Linked DNA regions of Mus musculus. The protein of the gene in region 3 interacts with the protein of the main gene of each other region in a biochemical or structural test. Links are inferred from orthologs where the notes say so. Each region holds a gene or a part of one and is shown on either strand. Other genes may lie near its edges. The genes, in order: Ensa, Gba, Snca, Apoe and Plk2.

Region 1 (2,937 bases), on a different chromosome or scaffold from region 3:
TTTTTCCTGTACAGAATGATAGAGGATGTAGCTCATGGGAAAGCACTTGTCTAGCCTGGGTTTAACCTATAAGGCCACAAAAGTGAAGAAACAGCAGCTGGAATGGCCTTCCTTAGCAGTGGAGGGCTGCCTTCACAGCCATCTCCTTCGTGGTCAGGTTTCTCCCTACCATGAGCTGACAGCAGATTATAAGGACAAAGCTGCAGTGTAAAGATGAGATGGAGAGAGAAGCAGCCTCCTGTGGAGAATCCCAGGTGCTCAGTCTTAGTCACAGATGACAGTGTGATGTTGAATTGCAGCTCCTCTTGAGGCGAGCCAGGCGTAGGCAGACAGTCTCACCATGGAACATGTGTGGGAGTGGTGGGAGTCTGGAAAGCTCACTGCCTCACGAGCAAGCCCAGTGCCTAATCCTGCTCTGAGAATATTTTCTAACTCTGATAGTCGGTTTCTGGTTGGTCTCTAGCTGCTGGTAGACCCAGATTGATTCTTCTTGAGTCTTATTCATGCTTTTCCCCAGCACCAAGGTATTGCTTTGGCACCTAGCTGTTACGAATGAAGTAAGTGATTGTAATTGAACCTTCTAGTACTCAGTAAGGTACAAAAGATACAGGAGTTGTCACCTAGGTTCAGGGACACAGCTGCCCCTTATGCAACAAAGGTACATGTTTCTGCTAGTAATCTGCTTATATTCTGACAAGGTCAGAGCATGCTGGGAAATGAACTTACAAGTGAGTAATGTGGACTGTGTGCATGGGGAATACTTAGACAGCTGAGGTAGGTGGGAGCTTATGCTGACGGTAGACAGTGAGTCTCTGCTTTTGGAGAACACCAAGGTTGCACATTCATCTAAACCTCGCTCCTGTCTCTTAGCAAAAGTACTTTGACTCAGGAGACTACAACATGGCCAAAGCCAAGATGAAGAACAAGCAGCTGCCAAGTGCAGGAGCAGACAAGAACCTGGTGACCGGTGACCACATCCCCACCCCACAGGACCTGCCCCAGAGAAAGTCCTCGCTCGTCACCAGCAAGCTTGCGGGGTAACCTGGGCCCCTCTCTTCCCCTTCCTCACCCACTGGACTGTTATATATTGTAGGCAGGGAATGGGCACCTAGTCAGAGCTCAGCTTGCCATCCAGGGGAGACATTCTGCTGGGGGCTTAGGTTGAAGATGGGCTCTGAGTTCATTTCTTTGGGTAAATTGAAACTTGTACACCCTCATGATAGCCCAGTAGAGACCCAAGAGTAGGAAAGACTAGGAGTGCAGAGTGCTGCAGCTTTTCCTGTGGTGAGAATGTGGAAGATGCAAGTTCTCCTGTTGGAGGAGCAAGTCCTTAGACGGGCTATCGTGGAGCAGTGTGACAGGTTCAGTGTCCCAAGGCTGAATTGACATGCTGAGAAAGGTAGAGTGAAGGAGATGCTCTCTGTGCTTCTAAGTGTGCTGTCCCTTAGGCCTCTGTGCTCTGTGTTCCCATCGTGGGTGTTTAGGGGACCTTCAAAAGAGAGGAGATTTCTGCTTGCTTAAAATTACAGGGCCCACCTAACCCCTCTGCTGTGTTCCTCCAACAGCTGCCCTGCTTCTCAAGGAGTGTAAAGTTTAACAGACGTTAGCTACTTATGAAAAAGAAAATGGTATCTTTTCTCTTCCAGCATGTTGCTTTTTGAAAGTATTATGGGATAATGGAAAGAGTTTAGGAGTTGAAATACTTGGGCTGTAGTTTTTGTCAAGCTCAACAGCACTGATGTGTGAGCTTGGCCAGGTCTGTAGCCTCTCTGAATTGATCCTGTTCCTCGTCTGTAAACAGACGGAAACGCGTGTGTAGGCTAACTCTGACTCTAAAGTCCTACACCTGCCATACCCTTCTGGTCATCATAAAACCAAAATTGAGGCAGGCCCATGGCTGAACCTCAGCTCTGTAGAGCCAGAAGTGCTACATGGGACGAGAGAGAGTTTGAGATTTAAGGGCCATAGCTTCCAACAACAGTCTCATAGGTATCATAGCCTTTTTGAGAGAGAAAGAGAACAAACCTGAAAAGGCTGTCCCTGGATGTGTCTTGACTCTGCCCATTTTCCTGGGTCTGCTGTTGACCCTAGCTGCTACAAAGCTGCTCTGGCAGCAGACTGGATAGGCCTGAGGAGACAGGCTCATTGACGTGGCATCTTGCTTCAGATGTATGTTAGGCATGGAGGAAGAAGGGATGAAGGGAGCTGGTCCCCAGAGCTTAGAGCTACTGCCAGCTGGAGCAGCTGCTCCTTAGCAGATGATTCACTGGTGGAGGATGGAAAGAGGGTGCAGGGAGGGAGGCAGCAGCCTGTCTTGCTGTGTCATCACTAGTTTGGCCTGGATCTTACTAAATGCCACCTGCTCGTCATCGACAGAGAGGGCCAGAGTGAGAACTGCTCAAAAGAGCAAGATGGTGCAGTCTCTCTCCCCTTTCCAGATTGCACTGTGCCCTTAGGATGTCTGGCGAGTTTGTGGATGTGTGTGTTAGGGGAAGGACATGTAAATATGCCCTTCTCCTGATTGGCCACTGCCCAGGTCTCTGGCCATCATTCAGATTGGGTAGAAATAGATTGGTGAGGAAGGAATGGAGAGAGCAGGACCCCTGGTCTCCCTGGCCCCCAAACTCTTTGACTCTCATTTGTAATGTATATAATTTTGTGTTTTTTGCTCCATTTTCTCATGCTGTCATCCTTAATGAGAAGTCCATGTGGGAAGGGGACAAACTGAACATCACTGTATAGTTTCTTCAATGTCCCAACCATGTTTACATAGATATGTCATGTTATTATATATATAAATATATATATAATTTTGTACGTTTTCTTCATCTCCGATCTTCTCGAATTCTGTACCTTTTTCTCCCCTGTCTGAGCTGCCTTATCTATTGGTTAGATTTGTGTCTCCAGAGCTGATATGTTCACAATGAGTCTGGTTTT
Region 2 (4,832 bases), on a different chromosome or scaffold from region 3:
TGCCAGGACTCAAACCAATGCAGCTCCAAGCAACTGTAATTTAAATATTGCCAGAGCTGAAGAAGATAACTAATCAATTTTTTAAAAAGGGTATGTGGTAATTATAAGAATGTAAAAACCTCACTCAGCAAGCATAAAGCTCCTAATGTGTAATTACAGACTTCCCTTGACTTCTCTTGCTAACGCTAGTAATGGTTCTGTGAGACTATGCTGGTGTCTATGTTGGGCAAGTGTGGAAACAGGCTCAGACTTCCCTTGACTTCTCTTGCTAACGCTAGTAATGGTTCTGTGAGACTATGCTGGTGTCTATGTTGGGCAAGTGTGGAAACAGGCTCAGAGACCTGGACTTAGTCAGATCACGCTGCATGTGTCACTGCCAATTAATCAACTTTATTGTGGCTCACAAGGAAACCCGGACGACAGCCCTCTTCTTGTGTCCACCAAAGACAGACAGCATTTTCCAGTTTCCTGGGAGGAAGGATGAAGAGCTTTCCAGCCAGCATCTGATGATAAAGCAAGAGAATCCAGAAACGGCCAGTGGGGACCACTCCCTCCCTTGGTCCTGATCTCCAGAGCCCGACAGCAACTCCCTGCACTTACTGTGACTCCCCCCCCCCCCCCCCCCCGCCTGTTCTTCTGGGAAGGGTCCCCTTTCCTCTCAAGGAGTCTTGCAAGTATACCTCTCAACATTTCTGTCTGTCTTCGCCTGTAACTCCGTGTAAGTGTCTGACTCATGTGTCTCACTAGTCTTTTTAGGATAAAGATTGTGTGTATGTGGGGTTTGTTGTTGTTTTTCGAGATAGGGTTTCCCTGTGTAACAGGACTGGCTGTCCTGGAAATTGCCCCATAGACCAGGCTGGCCTTGAACTCACAGGGATCCGCCTGCCTTTTCCTCCCAAGTGCTGGATTTAAAGGCATGTGCCACCAATTCCAGGCTGTATGTGGGGTTTCTAAATTTTGTTTTTATTTATTTTTATTTTTTTAAAAGATTTTATTTGGGGTTGGAGAGATGGCTCAGTGGTTAAGAGCAGTGACTGCTCTTCCAGAGGTCTGGAGTGTCTGAAGACAGCTTACATATAATAAATAAATAAATATTTTCTTTAAAATATTTATTTATTTATTTTTTATATATATGACGAGTACCCTGTAGCTGTCTTCAGACACCAGAAGAAGGCGTCAGATCCCATTACAGATGGTTGTGAGCCACCATGTGGTTGCTGGGAATTGAACTCAGGACCTCTGGAAGAGCAGTCAGTGCTCTTAACCGCTGAGCTATCTCTCCAGCCCCTTGTTTTTATTTTTAAATTTTATTTTTAAATTATGTATATCTGTGTGTCGGTATGTGCATGTGAATACAGTGGCCCTCACAGGCTAGAAGTCCTCTCTGTCTTGGATTTAGGAGCCTCTACTCAGCTGTCCATACAATCCTTGTTAGAATTCTCTTCCTAAAGGTGTCATCCTTTAGGCCTCCCCAAAATTCACAGGGTATGCAATGAATGACTAACCTAGAAGAGCCCAACTGCCCATTACAAATATGGCTTCGATTGCTTCACTTCCTGCATCACGTGACCGGCTTAGTCATCATGTGACTCTGTCCGCCCCTTTAAGCCGGAAGGAACTTGCTGTGCTAGTCGGTTCCAAGAGCTATGATATCTGTCTGTGTTTTATTTGGTAGGTCTTCTATCCCTCCAAGGCACAGAAACTTCCACAGTCTTCTCATTCGCTGGTCCTGAGTAGCTCCAGTTTCCAAGATCTTCTGGAGAGGTAAGCGGGCAGGGCTACAATTTGCCTTGTCAATCTTGCTTCGGGAATTCTGCCTATCTAGATTATGGAATTCGGTGAGTTCAATTTTTTTTTTTTTAAATTCAGGGCATCATGGCTCTTTGAGGGCACAGATGGAGGGAGGGCTGAAGGTTGAAATCGATGGGGGAAAAGAGTGAAGAGAGTCTTCTTTGGAGTGGGCAGCAAACTCCCTAGCAGAGTGAATGAATGCAGGACGCCTCCAGGGTCTACGGGCACTGTCTAATCACTAATAAAGGTGGGAGCCTATGCTGTGAGCATCCACAGGCAGCTAAACTCTGGCCAGGAGGGTGGTTGCAGGGTAGAGAGAGTCTTACACTATTATCTTTCCTCTACATTTTCTTCTCAGAAGTGTGCTGGTGTCATGGCTGCCAGGCTCATCGGATTCTTCCTATTTCAGGCGGTATCTTGGGCATATGGTGAGTCTAGGATGGAGATGGAGGCATGAAGGTGTCCCCTGCCCCCAAAGTCCTCTGGTAGCCTTCCATTATGGTGCTGAAATTTCAGTAGGGACTCTGTAACTCTTTTAGAATGCCTGAGACATCTTTGGGCTGGGAGTATGGTGGAAGGATTTTTTTAAAAAAATATTTATTTATTTATTATATGTAAGTACACTGTAGCTGTCTTCAGACACACCAGAAGAGGGCGTCAGATCTCGTTACAGATGGTTGTGAGCCACCATGTGGTTACTGGGATTTGAACTCCAGACCTTTGGAAGAGCAGTCGGGTGCTCTTACCCACTGAGCCATCTCACCAGCCCGGATTTTTTTTTTTTTAATTGTTGTTCTGTCTCGTACCTAGCATGCCCACTCCCTCATAAACCCGCTTTGATGCCTGCCTCTGCTTGTGCCCTGCCTCCTAGGTGCCCAACCCTGCATCCCCAAAAGCTTTGGCTACAGCTCAGTGGTCTGTGTCTGTAATGCATCGTACTGTGACTCTCTTGACCCCGTGACCTTACCGGCTCTGGGTACCTTCAGCCGTTACGAGAGCACTCGACGTGGACGTCGGATGGAGCTGAGTGTCGGGGCCATCCAGGCCAATCGCACTGGCACAGGTAGCCACTTTATCTGTCCCTCTAAGCCTGGACCCAAAGTCACACCAGTGATCAGCATGTCCTCTTCTGGACTCTGACTTTTCCTCTTCTTTTCCCAGGGTTACTACTCACTTTGCAGCCAGAAAAGAAGTTCCAGAAAGTGAAAGGATTTGGAGGCGCCATGACAGACGCCACTGCGCTCAACATCCTTGCTTTGTCCCCACCTACTCAGAAGCTGCTACTCAGATCCTACTTCTCTACCAACGGTGAGGAGGGCAGAGCAAGGTGGTACACTGTAACTTATGCCCCTTTTCATACCCTGGCTTTATTTTATTTTTAAATTTTTTATTACATTTCATTATCTCTTGTGTGTGCTGTGCATGAGTGAGGGGGAGGTCAGAGGACAATTTTCGGGTGTCCACTGTCCACCATGGGACCCATGGGCTAGAGTCGGGGGTCTTCCCACGGAGCTGTCTTGCCAGGCTTTTTGCTCTTGCTTCCATACTTTTCCCGGACATTTGCCTCCCTTCCTTTTCTTCTCTCCTCGCCTCTGTAATGCTCCTGGAGTAGACCTCATGTGTTCCAGACAAATCTACTGTGTAGTCAGTGATGGCTGAACTCCTGCCTCTCGTCTCCTGAGTGTTGGAATTACAGGTGTGCATTAGCAAGCCCAGTTCACACAGTGTTGGAGCTCAAACTTAGGGCGCCATGCATCCTTGGCAGGCATTCTGCCACCTGAACTACATCCCCAGCCTGCCTCTCAGTTCTTACTCTTTCCCTTTGTCCCATCCCTACCTTGCTTTACCAGGCTTGCCTCGAACACTGTAGCCATGACTAGCCTCGAACTCTTTTCTGACTTAGTTTTCCAAGTGCTGGAATTACAAGTATTATGCCACCAAGTGTACCAGGCCGATGGTTCCTGACTCAGTGCCACTGAAATACGATCACCTTTTTCAATATTCTGCTAAGTACTTAGGAAATACATGTGCAGAGGGGCTTCGGTTTCACTTAGGTTCTGGTCTCCACAAGCCCACACCTAGACCCTGGCTCTGAATGAGGGCCTATTGAGGACTAATAACTGATTAAAGCCAATTTTCATACTCACCTTGTTTTATTTTATTTTATCTTATCTTATTTTGAGACAGGGTCTTGCCTTGTAGCCCTGGCTGGCCTGCTCACATTGATCTGGCTGCCTCAGCCTCAGGAGGAATGGGATCACAGGCATGGTACACTTGGCTCCATAGTCTCCTATTGATTCAGATCTCCCTATCTTGGCCATCAATTCCTGCAGGAATTGAATATAACATCATCCGGGTACCCATGGCCAGTTGTGACTTCTCCATCCGTGTCTATACCTATGCTGACACCCCTAACGACTTCCAGTTATCCAACTTCAGCCTCCCAGAAGAAGACACCAAGCTCAAGGTGGGCATTCTAGTTGCCTCAGCCCTATTGGATTGCCGTCTTGGGGCTGGGAAGGTCCAGGTTAGAGCTGTCTCTAGAGCAACATGGAACATTCTGCAGCCTATTTGACTTGGGGGTAAGAGGGTGGGGGCTGATGGTTGGACCTGATGCACTGGTAGAACTAGTATGTGTTCCAGCTCTGGGTGTCTCTCTCTTCACTGTTTGTCTCCAGATACCCCTGATTCACCAAGCCCTGAAGATGTCCTCACGCCCCATTTCACTCTTTGCCAGTCCCTGGACATCACCCACTTGGCTCAAGACCAATGGAAGAGTGAATGGGAAGGGGTCGCTCAAGGGTCAGCCAGGGGATATCTTTCACCAGACCTGGGCCAATTACTTTGTCAAGTAAGGGATCGTCAGGGCCCTGGGATCTGGACACCGTAGTCTACATCGTATCCCTTGACCTGCTCCACTTTCAACATTCCATGCCTTTCAGTTTGTTAGTTTTACCTATTGCCCATGTCTTGGTCCACTTTCTTGGCCCTGATCACTCAGGCCCTTTCTCTCTTGCCAGGTTTCTGGATGCTTATGCTAA
Region 3 (4,678 bases):
TGTGGAAGAATTGAGTTTTTCCCCAAATCTACAAATTACTGCTTTTATATTCTGAATTCTATCTAAAACATTATACTTCACAATTCATTAAAAAAAAAACACTCTAAAATTAGCTCATTGACACCCTTCTCTTACAATACTCATTACAAGACTTTCTGAAAGGATGTTTTAAGTAGAAAAAGAGAATTAATTCAATGTAAAATTATTCTGTGAAGAATTAGGAAAGGTGATCTGCTAGAAACTTCAATGAAAAGACACATTCATGAAAATGTTTACAAGTATCAATTCCTCACTGATCGTTTGGAGGGTCAGCATGGCTTCCCCCGATTGGTACTCTGGGTAGCATCTGCATCACTTTTGCCACCTGTTCTGCTCCTTTTCAGCCTGAATGTTTACCCTGAGTCTTCCACCAAGAGAGATGCCCTCCTAAGAAGGTGGAAACAGTGTTCACAGGAGGAAAGAGAGGTAGATGAACCCTGCAACTGTGCTCCCATGTGCACCTGTGTCTCTGCTGGGGATAAGCATGTGTGCATGGGTGTCTATTCCTTCCATGAAAGTACTAGAAGGGATTTGTAAAGTTACAGCCAATTTAACACAGGGAAAGACAGAGAAAGGGAGTGTTGGCCTTCCTTTCAATGTGTACAGTCAGGCAGAAAATGGCACTAAATATCAACCTCTTACTGTTCAGCATGTATGATCTCTGACAGGTGAACTAAACAAACATTTCTGAAGTTCCTTAAGTCCCGCTGTTCCCACTGACCAAGTGATCCCTAAAAGGAGATCCACCAAAGAAGACTTGCTTTCTTTCTTCTATTTGAGGGTCAAAGGAGTTGTATTTTCACAGTTGTAAAATAAAATTATGCAAAACTATTGTTTAAAGCTTTATAATTTATTAAACTTAGCAGGTATTACCTATAGTGATGATGAAAGAAATCAAAGTCCCATGAGTACTTGTGGCTCACTTTCTTTCTTTCTTTCTTTCTTTCTTTCTTTCTTTCTTTCTTTCTTTCTCTTTCTTTCTTTCTTTCTTCCTTCCTTCCTTCCTTCCTTTATTTCTTTATTTCTTTGTGTGTGTGTGTGAGTGTGTGTGTGTGTGTATGTGTGTGTGTGTATGTGTGTATGTGTGTATGTGTGTGTGTAAGAGAGAGTGTGTGTGTGTGTATTGTGTGTGTGTGTGAGTGTGTGTGTGTGTGAGAGAGAGAGAGAGAGAGAGAGAGAGAGAGAGAGAGTGTGAGTGTGTGTGTGTGTGTGTGTGTGTGTGTGTGTGTGTTCTCACATAGTTCAGGCTGGCATCAAATTCTCTGTGTAGCTGAAGATGACCATCAACTCCTGGTCCTTGGGCCTCCACTTCCCAAATGCCACCAGGCTTACTGCCATACATGTCTTTGATTCATAAGCATATTCTTGGTTATTTTTCATGGGTTGCCAATTTTTAAAATTCAGTGTATTCATACACAGAAACAGAAAACCAAATAAAAAACCTACATAAATAACAAGATTAATGAATCTAAGGACAGAAAACATTGTCCCTGTTTGTTTCTGAGAGCTAATATGCAGGTTCATATTCTCTCACCTCCACACAGCTGTCACTCTTCTGAGAAGCTGTGATGCACACGAATCAGACACCACACACCAGCCACCCCAATTCATTAGTCACAGTGTCACTACCTACCTACATAGAGGACTCCCTCTTTTGTCTTTCCAGCTGCCTCTGCCACACCCTGCTTGGTTTTCTCAGCAGCAGCCACAACTCCCTCCTTGGCCTTTGAAAGTCCTTTCATGAACACATCCATGGCTAAAGATGTATTTTTGCTCCACACTAGAGAATACAGAATACATTTTGAATTAGAAAATTTGGGTAAAAAAATAATAATAATAAGGTTTAAAACAGCTAGAGAAAGAAAGGAAATTGAGGGGGAAAAATCAGTATGCCTTCCCCCAAGTCCTGGTGTAAGTGTGATTTCTTGGGTGGGGGGATGTGGGGGTGCTGGGCACAGTGTTGATTGATTGTTGAGTTATGTCACTCAATACTAGGAAAAAGTCATGTCACTTAAGGATGGGATGGATCTAGTTTGATCATTCGACTGCTCTTACATACATATTTCAGAAGAAGAGTTGCAGAAGGGGAGGTGGGCATCCTCTACCCCATCAAGTTCCCAGGGCCCAAAGGTTACATTCAAAGTAAAAAGACTATCTAGAAAAGGAACATGGGAGGTGGGCGTACAGAGATGGAGTGGGGGCAAGAGGATAAAAGACCCAGAGAGGAGTCAGTCTTTGGAGAAGGAAGGGAGGGGAACTGTTTAATCTAGAAGTAGGGAACTGCTTGAAGCCCAGCCTTTCTAATCTTGCAAGACCTTCTGCCCACCACTAGCTCTTTGCCTGCTATCTGCCCAGAGCAGGCGCTGTCCATACACTTGAGCAGTCTCACTTGAGCACCACCCAACCAAGAAGCTCTGTCCTCAGCTGGAATCCTCTAGAAGACCCTGCACCCCATGCTCATTAACCCTTTATCACCTGTTGCCTACTGTCCTCTGCACTTCTATTAATCATGGGCCAAAGGCACCCTTCTTCCTCTACAGAAAGAAGCTGAAATGCCTGGGGTTGGAGCATGAAAGTTGGATGCTCAAATTCCACCCAATGCCCAGCACTAAGCTTCCACCATCCAGCACTCAACATGAAACACCCTAGCGTTTCCGCTTGAAAAAGCAGATGCCACAGGCAACCTGGCCTTTCCCTCGGGCTTTGACAGGATGGAAGGGCATGTCTCCAGCGAAAGGAAAGCCGAGTGATGTACTTTCCACGCACTGGCCCAGTCCCCACCGCCAAAGCAGCTGTAGTTGGTCTTCTCTAGGCGTCCCGGCTCTTTGCTCCGGCTAGCTAAGATCCCCAGAGCTGCCCCATCTACAGGTACTTACCGGCTCCCTAGGCTTCTGAAGAACTCCGATTCTTCCTGTTTTCCCCAATCTAATTTCAATGAAAGAGGCAAGGGCAGGCAGGGGCAGGGGGAACACCTGCTGGTCTCCTGCCGTCTGCTGCCTGCTGCCGGGCGCTCTGGCTCCCTGGCTCCTTCACGTCGCCCCCGCAGCTGATTTGTCAGCGCCTCTCCCCGCCCCTCGCCTGCCTCGTGCCTTCGCTCCTCTTCCTAGGGAGGGGACGGGTTGGTTGGAGGTGCGGTGCGTGAGGGCTGTGGGTATCTGGAGCACATTCCCCCGGATGGAAGGAAGAGAGGACGGCCTGAGCCTCCCCTCGAGTTCAGAGGGCCCTCAGTTTTATCGTGGCTGAACTTGAGCTGGCGCCTCTCCTGCCCCACCCCCCTCCTTCCCTGCCTCAGTCTGTTCCCAGTTCCTCTAGGCGACCCCCTCCTCCAGGACGAGCCCAGATGCCACACCAGAGAGCTGGACCGCCTGAAATGGTCTGTGTGCGGAGCCAGGCAATGGAGAGGGAGCACACACCCTTGGGGTTGCTTTTGTTCACACAGCTTAAGATTTCCATTTGTTTTTACCCCGGAGGAGTCTAAAAGGGTTCTGGGTGCAAAGGGGAGCCGACTAAGGAAGAGTTACAGGTCGAAGAAGCAGGGGGAGGCTCAGCAAATCCTCATTCCCACTCCACTATCACCATTTTCTTTTCCACCAATCAGCGGCTGCCAGACGCTGATTTTTTTTTCCCCATCTGTGGAGCAAGGAATAAATATCCCCCAACCGTCGAAAACCAGCTGCCTCAAGGCTTTTTTGCACTTGAGAAAGTGGCTTACTATAGAGTTACAGGATAGGAAGGTAGCGGCTGTGGGATTCACCCTCTGGGACCATCACAGGCAGTTTCTTCCTTAGTCCCTACTTAATGGCAGATTTTGCACACCTCTTACCTTTCCGACTTCTGGCTGCGTGGAGCTCCAGCGAACAGACTCTTCTTCCAATCCAAGCACACGCGCAGATAGATGCACAGGCTTTGAGACAATTTCTGTGTTACTTAACACGTTCCCACTTCTCTCTGAGATGAGCAGAATACCACTGTTTTATAGCAGAGTGGATTTGAGTGCCAAGCTCCTCCCCCAGCAGAGTGCCTTGCTTTTCCTTTCTTGTATTCTGAACTTGTGTTGGGCACTGGAAGCTAAATCAAGCGTTTACTGTATTAAAAGGGGGGGGGGGTCGTAGGAGGGAATGCTTTCTCTGATCCTTGAAGTCAGTTGACTTCTGAATCCTGAAAAATAAATAAATAAATAAATAAATAAATAAATAAATTGAAGTCTAAAAAAGCATTTGAAACAAGGGACAAGCAGCTTGTTTGGCATGCTATAAAGGAAGGAGGCAGATAAAACCACAAATGCAGAGTACAAGTAATGTGACAGAAATTAACTGTTTAAGCAACGCCTTCAATTCTTATTCCCTTTAAAAATCAACCTTCCTACACACTAGTGGCACATACCATGTTTACTTGAAATTAAAGGAAAAGGTGGCACCTCTGCAGTAGATAGGGTTAGATCCTGGGCTCTAGCATCCCCATCCTGCCAAGTTAGGACACCTGTCCTCAACCAGCCAGGTAAAGTGACATATAAATAGTGAAATACTAGAAATGGGAGTAATTCAATGTGGCCACGTTAAGAAGAGGAACAGAGGTTTAGTGCCCCAAGTTCATCTTGTTTAGATAGAGGTCAGGATGTATGTATGACTAAGCAGTAGGT
Region 4 (4,740 bases), on a different chromosome or scaffold from region 3:
TCCCTGTCCCAAAACGGGCTGAGGTGGTAGCTTGTGCTGACTTTCTCCCAGTGGGAAGGTCAGAGGTCTCAGAAACTTCAGGAAGAAACGGAGTTCCTGGAAGTTCAGCACAATAAGGAAAGTTACTCTGGGAGGAACGGGCCCTAGCACCTTCCCAGGCTGAAACAGGAAATGTCAAGTTGTTTTGTTTTTTAAATTTTGTTGAAGATGTAGCTCTGGGCCTCACGTGTCAGGCAGGTGCTGCTGGGTTCCCTATAGTGCTTTTCCGTGAGGCCTGCTCTGGGGTGTGCGATAAGGGCCTCAGATTGGGCTCTGCATCTCACTGCTGCACCTCATGGCATCCCAAGGGAAGCAAAGACTCACGATGAACTGGTCAGTGTCCTAGACCGCAGCACTAAGACCCTCTCTACTGCCTGGGCTGGAGATGGGAGCTGGCCCTTAGCAACCCATGAAAATCATCTCACCACACCCAGTCCTTGCCAGTGTTTTCTGAAGCCAAAGCTAACAGGCCTGGGCCTGGCCAGGCACCCTGTACGTACCCTTGGAGCCAGGTGTTCCGCCTCTGCCCATCCTGCAGAATCATGTTTTGCCGTGTCTGGTGCCAAACACTGCTATGTGGCTTCTCTCCTGCCATCAACAGCTGGGAACAGGGAACCTTGTGCAGGCAGTGCTTCTAGCAAGCTTGCTGTGGTCTCTGAGCCCCTTGTCCTACCTGACTTCCCAGGTACAATGGCTTTCCCACTTTTTGGGGGTTTTGTTGTTGTTGGGTTTTTTTTTGTTTTTCAAGACAGGGTTTCTCTGTGTAGTCCTGTCGGTCCTGGAACTCACTTTGTAGACCAGGCTGGCCTCCAACTCAGAAATTCACCTGCCTCTGCCTCCAAGTGCTGGGATTATGGGATTAAAGGCATGTGCCACCACGCCCAGCTGGCTTTTCCACTTTTTAGCCAGGACTTCATTCTATTACCTGAGCTCGGGATCTTCCTGCCTCAGCTTTGCATATGGCTAGCACTATAGACCCATGTTCCAGTGAATGACTTATGGCTTGTCTTTTTTTTTTTTTTTTTTTTTTTTTATGTGCATTAGTGTTTTGCCTGCATGTATGCCTTCGTGAGGGTAGCAGATCTTGGTGTTACAGTTGTGAGCTGCTGTGTGGGTGCTGCGATTTTGAACCTAGGTCCTGTGAAATGCAGTCAGTGCTCCTAACCTCTGAGTCATCTCTCCAGCTCCTGCTCTTCTGCTTTTATGAGGAAAAAGAAAAGAGAAGTGGCTTGAGAGTGGAAAATGCACATGCAGGGGTGCACACCTGCAGTCCCAGCATGCTACAGCAGAGGCAGAAGGACCTTTGTGGGTTAGAGGGCAGCCTGAGAATCTTATCTCAAAACAACTTTTTAAAATGTGCTCTGTAGGGGTAGCTCTTCCCTCCCAAGGTGACACATCTGGCAATCGCCAGAAACAGATCAGGAGCATCAACGCTTGGTTTCCCAGGGCTTGGCTTAATGTATGGCTTCAAACCCATCGGGAGCCACCACTGAACAGCTCCTGAAGGAACTGGAGCACGTCCCAGCCTTGGAATGGAAAGAGTTCACCTGTGGTGGAGGAATCAACAACGAGGGATCCCAGAACAACGATCTTCACCCCAGAAGCTGAGCCTCTTAGCCCCCACCCACCCATTTCCATTTAGGCTGCCAGCTCTTTTCTTTACAATGCACCAGACCCCGCGGGGAAAGGGAAGGAGCGGTTCTCAGTGCCCCAGTACCAAGGCCTGGATTATTCAATGAGGTGTCCGCTCCCTTTGTTGGCGGGGGAGGGGAGCGGGGGGTCACAAGGCATCCAAACTCCACCTCTTTCCTCTGCCCTGCTGTGAAGGGGGAGAGAACAACCCGCCTCGTGACAGGGGGCTGGCACAGCCCGCCCTAGCCCTGAGGAGGGGGCGGGACAGGGGGAGTCCTATAATTGGACCGGTCTGGGATCCGATCCCCTGCTCAGACCCTGGAGGCTAAGGACTTGTTTCGGAAGGAGCTGGTAAGACAAGCTGGGCTGGGGATTCACCCAGGGACCTTGGTAGGATGTGGGCTGGGAACCTTGAGATCCCCCGGAGTCCAGGAAACAGGCACAAGAATTGGAAAAGCAGGCAGCACGATAGAAGTCTTGGGGGACAAACTAAGGACTCGAGGTAACTAGCCTTTGCCAGAGTCAGAGCAGGTGGAGGGGTTACCTCCAGGAAGGAGTACGGGACTGTCGGTGCACGGCGTACCGGCTCAACTAGGAACCATCCTATGGCGAAAAAACTCGGGATGAGCCTTAGGCTGCTTTTATATAAATACCTACTGATTTCCATCACAGTCCCCAAGTAACCCGGACTGGTTTCAAACTGTGGCTCCTCATGGCTGAGCTCCCTAAGTTCTGTAGTTGTGGGAGGGTACCACTTCGCAGGGATGGAGGACGATTAAAAATCGTGTTAAATTAACACAAAATGGAAAGCAGGACTTAGCCGGGAAGAAAGAGGAATGTAAGCTGGACCACCCGCTGGCCCTCTGTGAAGTGGAATTTGAACCCTAGGAGAGGGAGCTGGAATTTTTGGCAGCGGATCCACCCCGGGGTGCCGAGATAGCGAACTCGGCAAGGGGAGGTAAACAGACCTTTGGGAAGAGCGGGTGCTCTGTTTTGGAGATGTTTGTGATGGCTCACAGATCTGAGAAGGGAAGATGGGGTTCTCTGGGTGGCCGGAGTCCCTCCACCCCCGCCCCCTGGTGTTCAAAGACAATTTTTCCCTCCGCAGACTGGCCAATCACAATTGCGAAGATGAAGGCTCTGTGGGCCGTGCTGTTGGTCACATTGCTGACAGGTATGGAGCAAGGACTTGCTGTGGTGCCGCTTTTTCTGCTCCTCTGTGGACTCTATTCTAGCCCTAGATCTCTTCTGCTGGTGGGTTGAGGCTGAGGCGGTTCTGAGACCTCTCTGAGATTCAATAGCCCTGAGCAGCTGTTTTATATACTCTTTAGGCCTTGATTTCCCCTAACTATAAGAGGATTGATGGCTTAGTGGGTAAAGGTGCTTATCATAAAGCTTGAAGACTTAACTCTGAGACCAACATAGTGGAAGGAGAGAGCCAATTCCCTCTAGAACTCTGACCTCCAAGGGTACACACACACACACACACACACACACACACACACACAATAAAAAGTTGATTTCTTAGTTGCTCTTAAAAGTGGGGTATACATTTTCTAATTCCACACCTGCCTAGTCTCGGCTCTGAACTACATAGGATACAAGACAGTGCATGCTTGTAGTATCTAAACAGACTCCACAGCCTCCAGACCCACTTCAAAGAGACCCAAAAAGACTGTAGGTCCTGACCCAGCCTTAAACTTACTCTACACAGGATGCCTAGCCGAGGGAGAGCCGGAGGTGACAGATCAGCTCGAGTGGCAAAGCAACCAACCCTGGGAGCAGGCCCTGAACCGCTTCTGGGATTACCTGCGCTGGGTGCAGACGCTGTCTGACCAGGTCCAGGAAGAGCTGCAGAGCTCCCAAGTCACACAAGAACTGACGTGAGTGTCCAGCTCTTTCACCCTCGGCAGGCACCAGCTGATCCAGGGTTGCCTCCTATCTGGGTCCCCAGCCCCTTCTTGTTTCCTTTCTCAATTAGTGTGTAGCCCAGGTTGGCCTTGAATCCTCCTGCCTTCTTTAGCCTTCTGGATGCTGGGAGGAACAGACATTTATTACTTGCTTGGTCGATTGGCTTTTGGCTTCTTGAGACAGGATCCCATTCTGTAACTCAAGCTGGCTTCGAAGGCTCTGCAATTCTTATGCCGCAGCTTCTCAACTTCTGGGAACACAAGCGAGTACCATCACCTCTTGCTCTGTGGTTTCTGGCCCTTCTGTCCTGCCTTCATCTCCTTCCTGTGTTTCCTCTGGGCCTGCAGGGCACTGATGGAGGACACTATGACGGAAGTAAAGGCTTACAAAAAGGAGCTGGAGGAACAGCTGGGTCCAGTGGCGGAGGAGACACGGGCCAGGCTGGGCAAAGAGGTGCAGGCGGCACAGGCCCGACTCGGAGCCGACATGGAGGATCTACGCAACCGACTCGGGCAGTACCGCAACGAGGTGCACACCATGCTGGGCCAGAGCACAGAGGAGATACGGGCGCGGCTCTCCACACACCTGCGCAAGATGCGCAAGCGCTTGATGCGGGATGCCGAGGATCTGCAGAAGCGCCTAGCTGTGTACAAGGCAGGGGCACGCGAGGGCGCCGAGCGCGGTGTGAGTGCCATCCGTGAGCGCCTGGGGCCTCTGGTGGAGCAAGGTCGCCAGCGCACTGCCAACCTAGGCGCTGGGGCCGCCCAGCCTCTGCGCGATCGCGCCCAGGCTTTTGGTGACCGCATCCGAGGGCGGCTGGAGGAAGTGGGCAACCAGGCCCGTGACCGCCTAGAGGAGGTGCGTGAGCACATGGAGGAGGTGCGCTCCAAGATGGAGGAACAGACCCAGCAAATACGCCTGCAGGCGGAGATCTTCCAGGCCCGCCTCAAGGGCTGGTTCGAGCCAATAGTGGAAGACATGCATCGCCAGTGGGCAAACCTGATGGAGAAGATACAGGCCTCTGTGGCTACCAACCCCATCATCACCCCAGTGGCCCAGGAGAATCAATGAGTATCCTTCTCCTGTCCTGCAACAACATCCATATCCAGCCAGGTGGCCCTGTCTCAAGCACCTCTCTGGCCCTCTGGTGGCCCTTGC
Region 5 (4,878 bases), on a different chromosome or scaffold from region 3:
AGAACTCCAATGTGAAGTGACCGCTTACGTACTGTGTTAACCGAGACAATAGGACGGGCATGGAGTTCGCAAAACTTCGTGGTTCTATGAAAAATGTATTGATAATAGCTATTTAAATCGTCTAGGACCCCGTTTCTTCACCTGTAAGATGGGAAAGATGTAGACTAGGCTATGTCCCTTCAAAACAGGTCCACAGGTAGCTAGACTATGTCACCCTCAATGTAACCGCTGAGTCGGGATAAGTTTGAATTGAATTAAAAGATAGGTAGACACAGAAAGCCTGAAAGTGGCACACCACTTTTTTGTAAGGAAAAAGAAAAAAAATCACATTTATTAAAAGAAGTCTCAAGTTCTAAGTCTCCAGAACCAGACAAAAAGAACGATTCTAAGTAACAAACTTATCAGTGAAAAACATAAACTCTTCCCTATTTACTCCCTTGTTCCCGACTGCCTTTTGTTTCCTGTCTTTTCCCACACTCTTGTTTTGGCTTCTGATAGCATTCAAACCTCAATTCTAAGCCACTTTGGAGGGTACTCTTTTTGTTGTGAATGGAGAAACTTGTGGTTCTGCAGTTTATCTGCCCAGCCCGAGGAACCACAGTGATAATTTGAAAGGGTAGAAGGAAAATGATTTTCCCTCCCCTAATATGGCAGACTTTTTCATTCAGGATTGTATTAAGATGATATAGACAGGGCCGGGCAGTAGTGGCGCACACCTTTAGTCCCAGCACTTGGGAGGCAGAGGCAGGCGGATTTCTGAGTTCAAGGCCAACCTGGTCTACAGAGTGAATTCCAGGACAGCCAGGGCTACACAGAGAAAAGAGAAACCCTGCCCCCCCCCCCAAAAAAAATGTATACAGCATTTCAAAATAGCTACCAGCGGTTAATACGGAACCATACGCGCTGGAACAAGGAAGAAGGAAAGTCTCTGAGATGGTACAACTGAACAGTAAAATCTGTAAAAACTGAACAGCCGCCTTTATTCTCCACTATACCCCACTGTGGGACCTTAGATTGACTCTGTGTACCAGGGCGGTGACATTGCTTAGTGACATTAGATCCACGCAATCTGAATCACCTAGTTGGAACAAAAAGTTATAGATGACTTCAATTGTAGAATTATAATTGGCAACAGAACACTTTTAGCGTTACTGTGGAAGCCAGCCCATATTGTTGCTAAGGAACCTCGGCCCACTTAGACCGTTAATCGTTTTTCTGAAAAAATCCACAGGATGGCGATCTTGCTTAGACTTGTTGCGTACCAAACCTTCTCCAGTCGTCAAGCCCTCGCTCCACTCCAAGGTTAAGAGCCTGGCCTCTGACAGGGGTCACTTATCAGGCGATGGGAAGAGGCTGCAGGGAGCTCAGATACTCCCACGCCACAGCAGGTCACCCGGATCTGCGACCCGGATTGTGCCTGGTTCCCTAGCTGCTCTGGCTCTGCCTGGTGCCCGGTTCCGCAAGGCCGGCCACTGAGCCTCCCGCCTGCGGTGGCGGCGGAGGTCCCCAAGCGCTCCGGGTCTCCGGGTGCCACCCCGCGGGGCTCGCTGGATGACAGGGTGTGGGGCTGCACACAGTCAGGAGGGCGGTGCCAACCCTGCGGCTCCCCCGGGCTGCTACCCCGCATCCCCGCTCCTCCAGGACCCAGACAGGGCGTCCGCCCTTGGGTTTCTGTTTCCCACGTCCAAAGTCAGGGCACGCGACGAACTGGGGGCACTTGGCGTACCGCCGCCTTCAGGCCAGGTCGAAGCCCACGACATCCAGGCGGCCACCCCGCACCTATCCACAGCGCGGACTCCGGGGCCGGTGGGTGGAGCGCTCGCCGTGACGTCACGAGGCCCCGCCCCAGCCAGCCGGCGCGTATTTAAAGCTTCGCTGCTCGCTCTTGCTCGCACAAGCGAAGCAGGACGTCAGACTAGAGAGTAGGGAGAGAGACTGGTGCTCGAGGGACAGGGCTAGCCCGGACGCTTGTCCGCGCCTCGGAGGTGGCAAGTAGGCAGTGTCGGGTGGCGAGGCAACGATGGAGCTCCTGCGGACTATCACCTACCAGCCGGCCGCCGGCACCAAGATGTGCGAGCAGGCTCTGGGCAAAGCTTGCGGCGGGGACTCAAAGAAGAAGCGACCGCAGCAGCCTTCTGAAGATGGGCAGCCCCAAGCCCAGGTGACCCCGGCGGCCCCGCACCACCATCACCACCATTCCCACTCGGGACCCGAGATCTCGCGGATTATAGTCGACCCCACGACGGGGAAGCGCTACTGCCGGGGCAAAGTGCTGGGCAAGGTGAGGAGCGGCGGACGTCAGGCTGCCGGGCGGGAGGGCGGGCTGCCCGGGCAAGCTGAGCGAGCAGGGACCCAGCGCCCGCACTTCTCGCTCCTTCAGCTGTCTGGTTCCCCGAACGATCGACGTGGGTTCCTCTCCTGCCCTCCTGGGCTTCTGTGCGCCGACAGCGCTGGGGTTCGGATTTGCATCCTTAGCCTGTTTTTCTCCCGAGTCTAAGAAGGAGGACTGAAGGCATTCTACCTTGGCCTTGGGCTCTCACTATCTGATCCCCAGGGAGCTAGCCTGTCAAATTTCTTCAGAGGGCATTTTCCTCCCTTTCCCCCTTCCACTCCCTTCTCCATAGAGTTCTTTGTAAAGGGGAAACGAGAAAACTGGACTGGTTTCTAGGAATGTGCTGCCCTTCCTGAAAAACCATTATACAAAGCAGATTGTACTGCTCTGCCCACCCTCTGTTCCTCAAATTTTGCTTCCCGTTCCCATTTACGTATTCATTTATTTTAAACGTTGGCCCTTCATTTTTTTTTTTTTTCCTTTTTTCTGTCCTGCTCAATTCCATCTCGGCTTTGTTTCCTCGCAGGGTGGATTTGCAAAGTGTTACGAAATGACAGATCTGACAAACAACAAAGTCTACGCTGCAAAAATTATTCCTCACAGCAGAGTAGCTAAACCTCATCAGAGGGAAAAGGTGGGTATGACTGTCGACTAAAGTATTTTCTTTGTGTGCAGGGATGGCCCTACCCTGTTAGAAAAAAAATGTCTTCTGCATGTGTAAGCACTGCCTTTCCAGACACGACGAGAGACTAATAAGCCTTCTCTTGCTTTTTTTATTTTTCCTTAGATCGACAAAGAAATCGAGCTTCACAGACTACTGCACCATAAGCATGTCGTGCAGTTTTACCACTACTTTGAAGACAAAGAAAACATTTACATTCTCTTGGAATACTGCAGTAGAAGGGTAAGTGTTGACTCCTGGGTCAGCGAGCTTGCCGACAGGAAGCCGGAGTGGTGTTTGGATTACATTTTATCAGCGGTTTTAGCCGTGACAGTTAATTAGTCTCCCACCATATGAGACTGCGTCGTCAGTCCAGCAAAGGGATGCCCGATCTAGGTAACTTTATTTGACAAATTCTCCTCTCTCCCCTTCTCTTCCTAGTCCATGGCTCACATCTTGAAAGCAAGAAAGGTGTTGACAGAGCCAGAAGTCCGATACTACCTCAGGCAGATTGTGTCAGGACTCAAGTATCTTCACGAACAAGAAATCTTGCACAGGGATCTCAAGCTAGGTAAGGCTTCTCCTGCAGCGACGGGGGTGGGGGTGGGGTGGGGGTGGGGGGGTGGGGGCTAGAGAGTGGGAGGTTTTCCAGTGTTGTGAATCTAGCTTTTTGAATGGGTGCCTTCACTGGAGGGTGCTGATCTCCAAGTGTGAACCTTTCCAAGGGAGTTCATGTTTCCTTTTGTTTATCTTCTAGGGAACTTTTTTATTAATGAAGCCATGGAGCTGAAGGTGGGAGACTTTGGTTTGGCAGCCAGACTGGAACCACTGGAACACAGAAGGAGGTGAGAGCCATGCTCTTCCTGGGGTTTGTGGAGACCAAATATGCCTCTATTATTAGTTAATAGAAAGTTAGTTCACACTACAATCTGCAAACCACAGCAGTGTTACTAAACGGAAACTTGTGTGCACTCTTGAGCGAGATAACTTACACCTCTAAATGGATTATTAAGGCAATCAATAAAATAAATGTTTAAATTTACTTGATATATACATACACACACATACACATGTACACACGCACACACAGGATCTGGTCTCATCTGGTTAAAAATACTTGGTCATATGGGCTGGGCAAATTGTACACACATTAAAAAATTACCAAAAGAAACTTGGTCAAATAAAAACACTAAAAAATAGTCAAGTAGAAAATGAGAAAAAAAAATTCAAGCTTTTATTTCCCATTGAGTCATCCCCAGAGAAGTAATTTTAATTGAAGTCATAGTTCCTAATGAGATCTTGCTATATTCTGTCTTCTCAGAACAATATGTGGAACCCCAAATTATCTCTCCCCCGAAGTCCTCAACAAACAAGGACACGGCTGTGAATCAGACATCTGGGCCTTAGGCTGTGTAATGTAAGTAAATGCACTAAAAAAAAAAAAAAAAAAAAAAAAAAAAGCCAAAGTTGACTCAGTCATGATGCTCAAAAAGAGTTCCTTCTTGACCATTTCTGAAGATGTGCTTCTGTGTACCCAGGTATACGATGCTGCTAGGAAGACCTCCATTCGAAACCACAAATCTGAAAGAAACGTACAGGTGCATAAGGGAAGCAAGGTATACCATGCCATCCTCATTGCTGGCCCCTGCTAAGCACTTGATAGCTAGCATGCTGTCCAAAAACCCAGAGGACCGCCCCAGTTTGGATGACATCATTCGGCATGACTTCTTCCTGCAGGTCAGTGCTCTTTGACCTTTCTGTAAAATTGAGTGTCATCGTCCTGGTTGCTGGAGAGGTTTCTGATGGTCTCTTCTGGTTCCACAGGGTTTCACTCCGGACAGACTCTCTTCCAGCTGTTGCCACACAGTTCCAGATTTCCACTTGT

The links.
Region 1: the proteins of Snca (region 3) and Ensa form a complex in vitro, tested with the Homo sapiens proteins (2 studies listed by BioGRID, with this or other methods). The link is inferred for Mus musculus from reciprocal best matches to the Homo sapiens genes SNCA and ENSA.
Region 2: the proteins of Snca (region 3) and Gba form a complex in vitro, tested with the Homo sapiens proteins (2 studies listed by BioGRID). The link is inferred for Mus musculus from reciprocal best matches to the Homo sapiens genes SNCA and GBA1.
Region 4: the proteins of Snca (region 3) and Apoe form a complex in vitro, tested with the Homo sapiens proteins (2 studies listed by BioGRID and IntAct). The link is inferred for Mus musculus from reciprocal best matches to the Homo sapiens genes SNCA and APOE.
Region 5: of the proteins of Snca (region 3) and Plk2, one has a biochemical effect on the other in vitro, tested with the Homo sapiens proteins (2 studies listed by BioGRID). The link is inferred for Mus musculus from reciprocal best matches to the Homo sapiens genes SNCA and PLK2.

The regions. Positions count from the first base shown.
Region 1 is NC_000069.6:95,627,671-95,630,607, forward strand, and holds part of Ensa (alpha-endosulfine), read left to right. Parts: intron 1-870; coding exon 871-1,037; coding exon of another isoform or gene 1,038-1,041; exon of another isoform or gene 1,042-2,823; intron 2,824-2,937. UniProt on the Homo sapiens protein: Protein phosphatase inhibitor that specifically inhibits protein phosphatase 2A (PP2A) during mitosis.
Region 2 is NC_000069.6:89,201,323-89,206,154, forward strand, and holds the start of Gba (lysosomal acid glucosylceramidase precursor), read left to right. Parts: upstream 1-1,605; 5' UTR 1,606-1,764; intron 1,765-1,869; exon of another isoform or gene 1,870-2,038; intron 2,039-2,149; 5' UTR 2,150-2,164; coding exon 2,165-2,219; intron 2,220-2,662; coding exon 2,663-2,854; intron 2,855-2,952; coding exon 2,953-3,099; intron 3,100-4,124; coding exon 4,125-4,258; intron 4,259-4,469; coding exon 4,470-4,642; intron 4,643-4,811; coding exon 4,812-4,832. UniProt on the Homo sapiens protein: Glucosylceramidase that catalyzes, within the lysosomal compartment, the hydrolysis of glucosylceramides/GlcCers (such as beta-D-glucosyl-(1<->1')-N-acylsphing-4-enine) into free ceramides (such as N-acylsphing-4-enine) and glucose.
Region 3 is NC_000072.6:60,825,809-60,830,486, forward strand, and holds the start of Snca (alpha-synuclein), read right to left. Parts: upstream 3,197-4,678; 5' UTR 2,916-3,196; intron 1,820-2,915; 5' UTR 1,794-1,819; coding exon 1,673-1,793; intron 1-1,672. UniProt on the Homo sapiens protein: Neuronal protein that plays several roles in synaptic activity such as regulation of synaptic vesicle trafficking and subsequent neurotransmitter release.
Region 4 is NC_000073.6:19,696,293-19,701,032, reverse strand, and holds the start of Apoe (apolipoprotein E precursor), read left to right. Parts: upstream 1-1,844; 5' UTR 1,845-2,022; intron 2,023-2,411; exon of another isoform or gene 2,412-2,509; intron 2,510-2,559; exon of another isoform or gene 2,560-2,629; intron 2,630-2,634; exon of another isoform or gene 2,635-2,779; 5' UTR 2,780-2,802; coding exon 2,803-2,845; intron 2,846-3,385; coding exon 3,386-3,554; intron 3,555-3,929; coding exon 3,930-4,653; 3' UTR 4,654-4,740. UniProt on the Homo sapiens protein: APOE is an apolipoprotein, a protein associating with lipid particles, that mainly functions in lipoprotein-mediated lipid transport between organs via the plasma and interstitial fluids.
Region 5 is NC_000079.6:110,393,157-110,398,034, forward strand, and holds the start of Plk2 (serine/threonine-protein kinase PLK2), read left to right. Parts: upstream 1-1,887; 5' UTR 1,888-2,020; coding exon 2,021-2,281; intron 2,282-2,858; coding exon 2,859-2,966; intron 2,967-3,119; coding exon 3,120-3,236; intron 3,237-3,434; coding exon 3,435-3,564; intron 3,565-3,750; coding exon 3,751-3,838; intron 3,839-4,314; coding exon 4,315-4,410; intron 4,411-4,531; coding exon 4,532-4,730; intron 4,731-4,817; coding exon 4,818-4,878.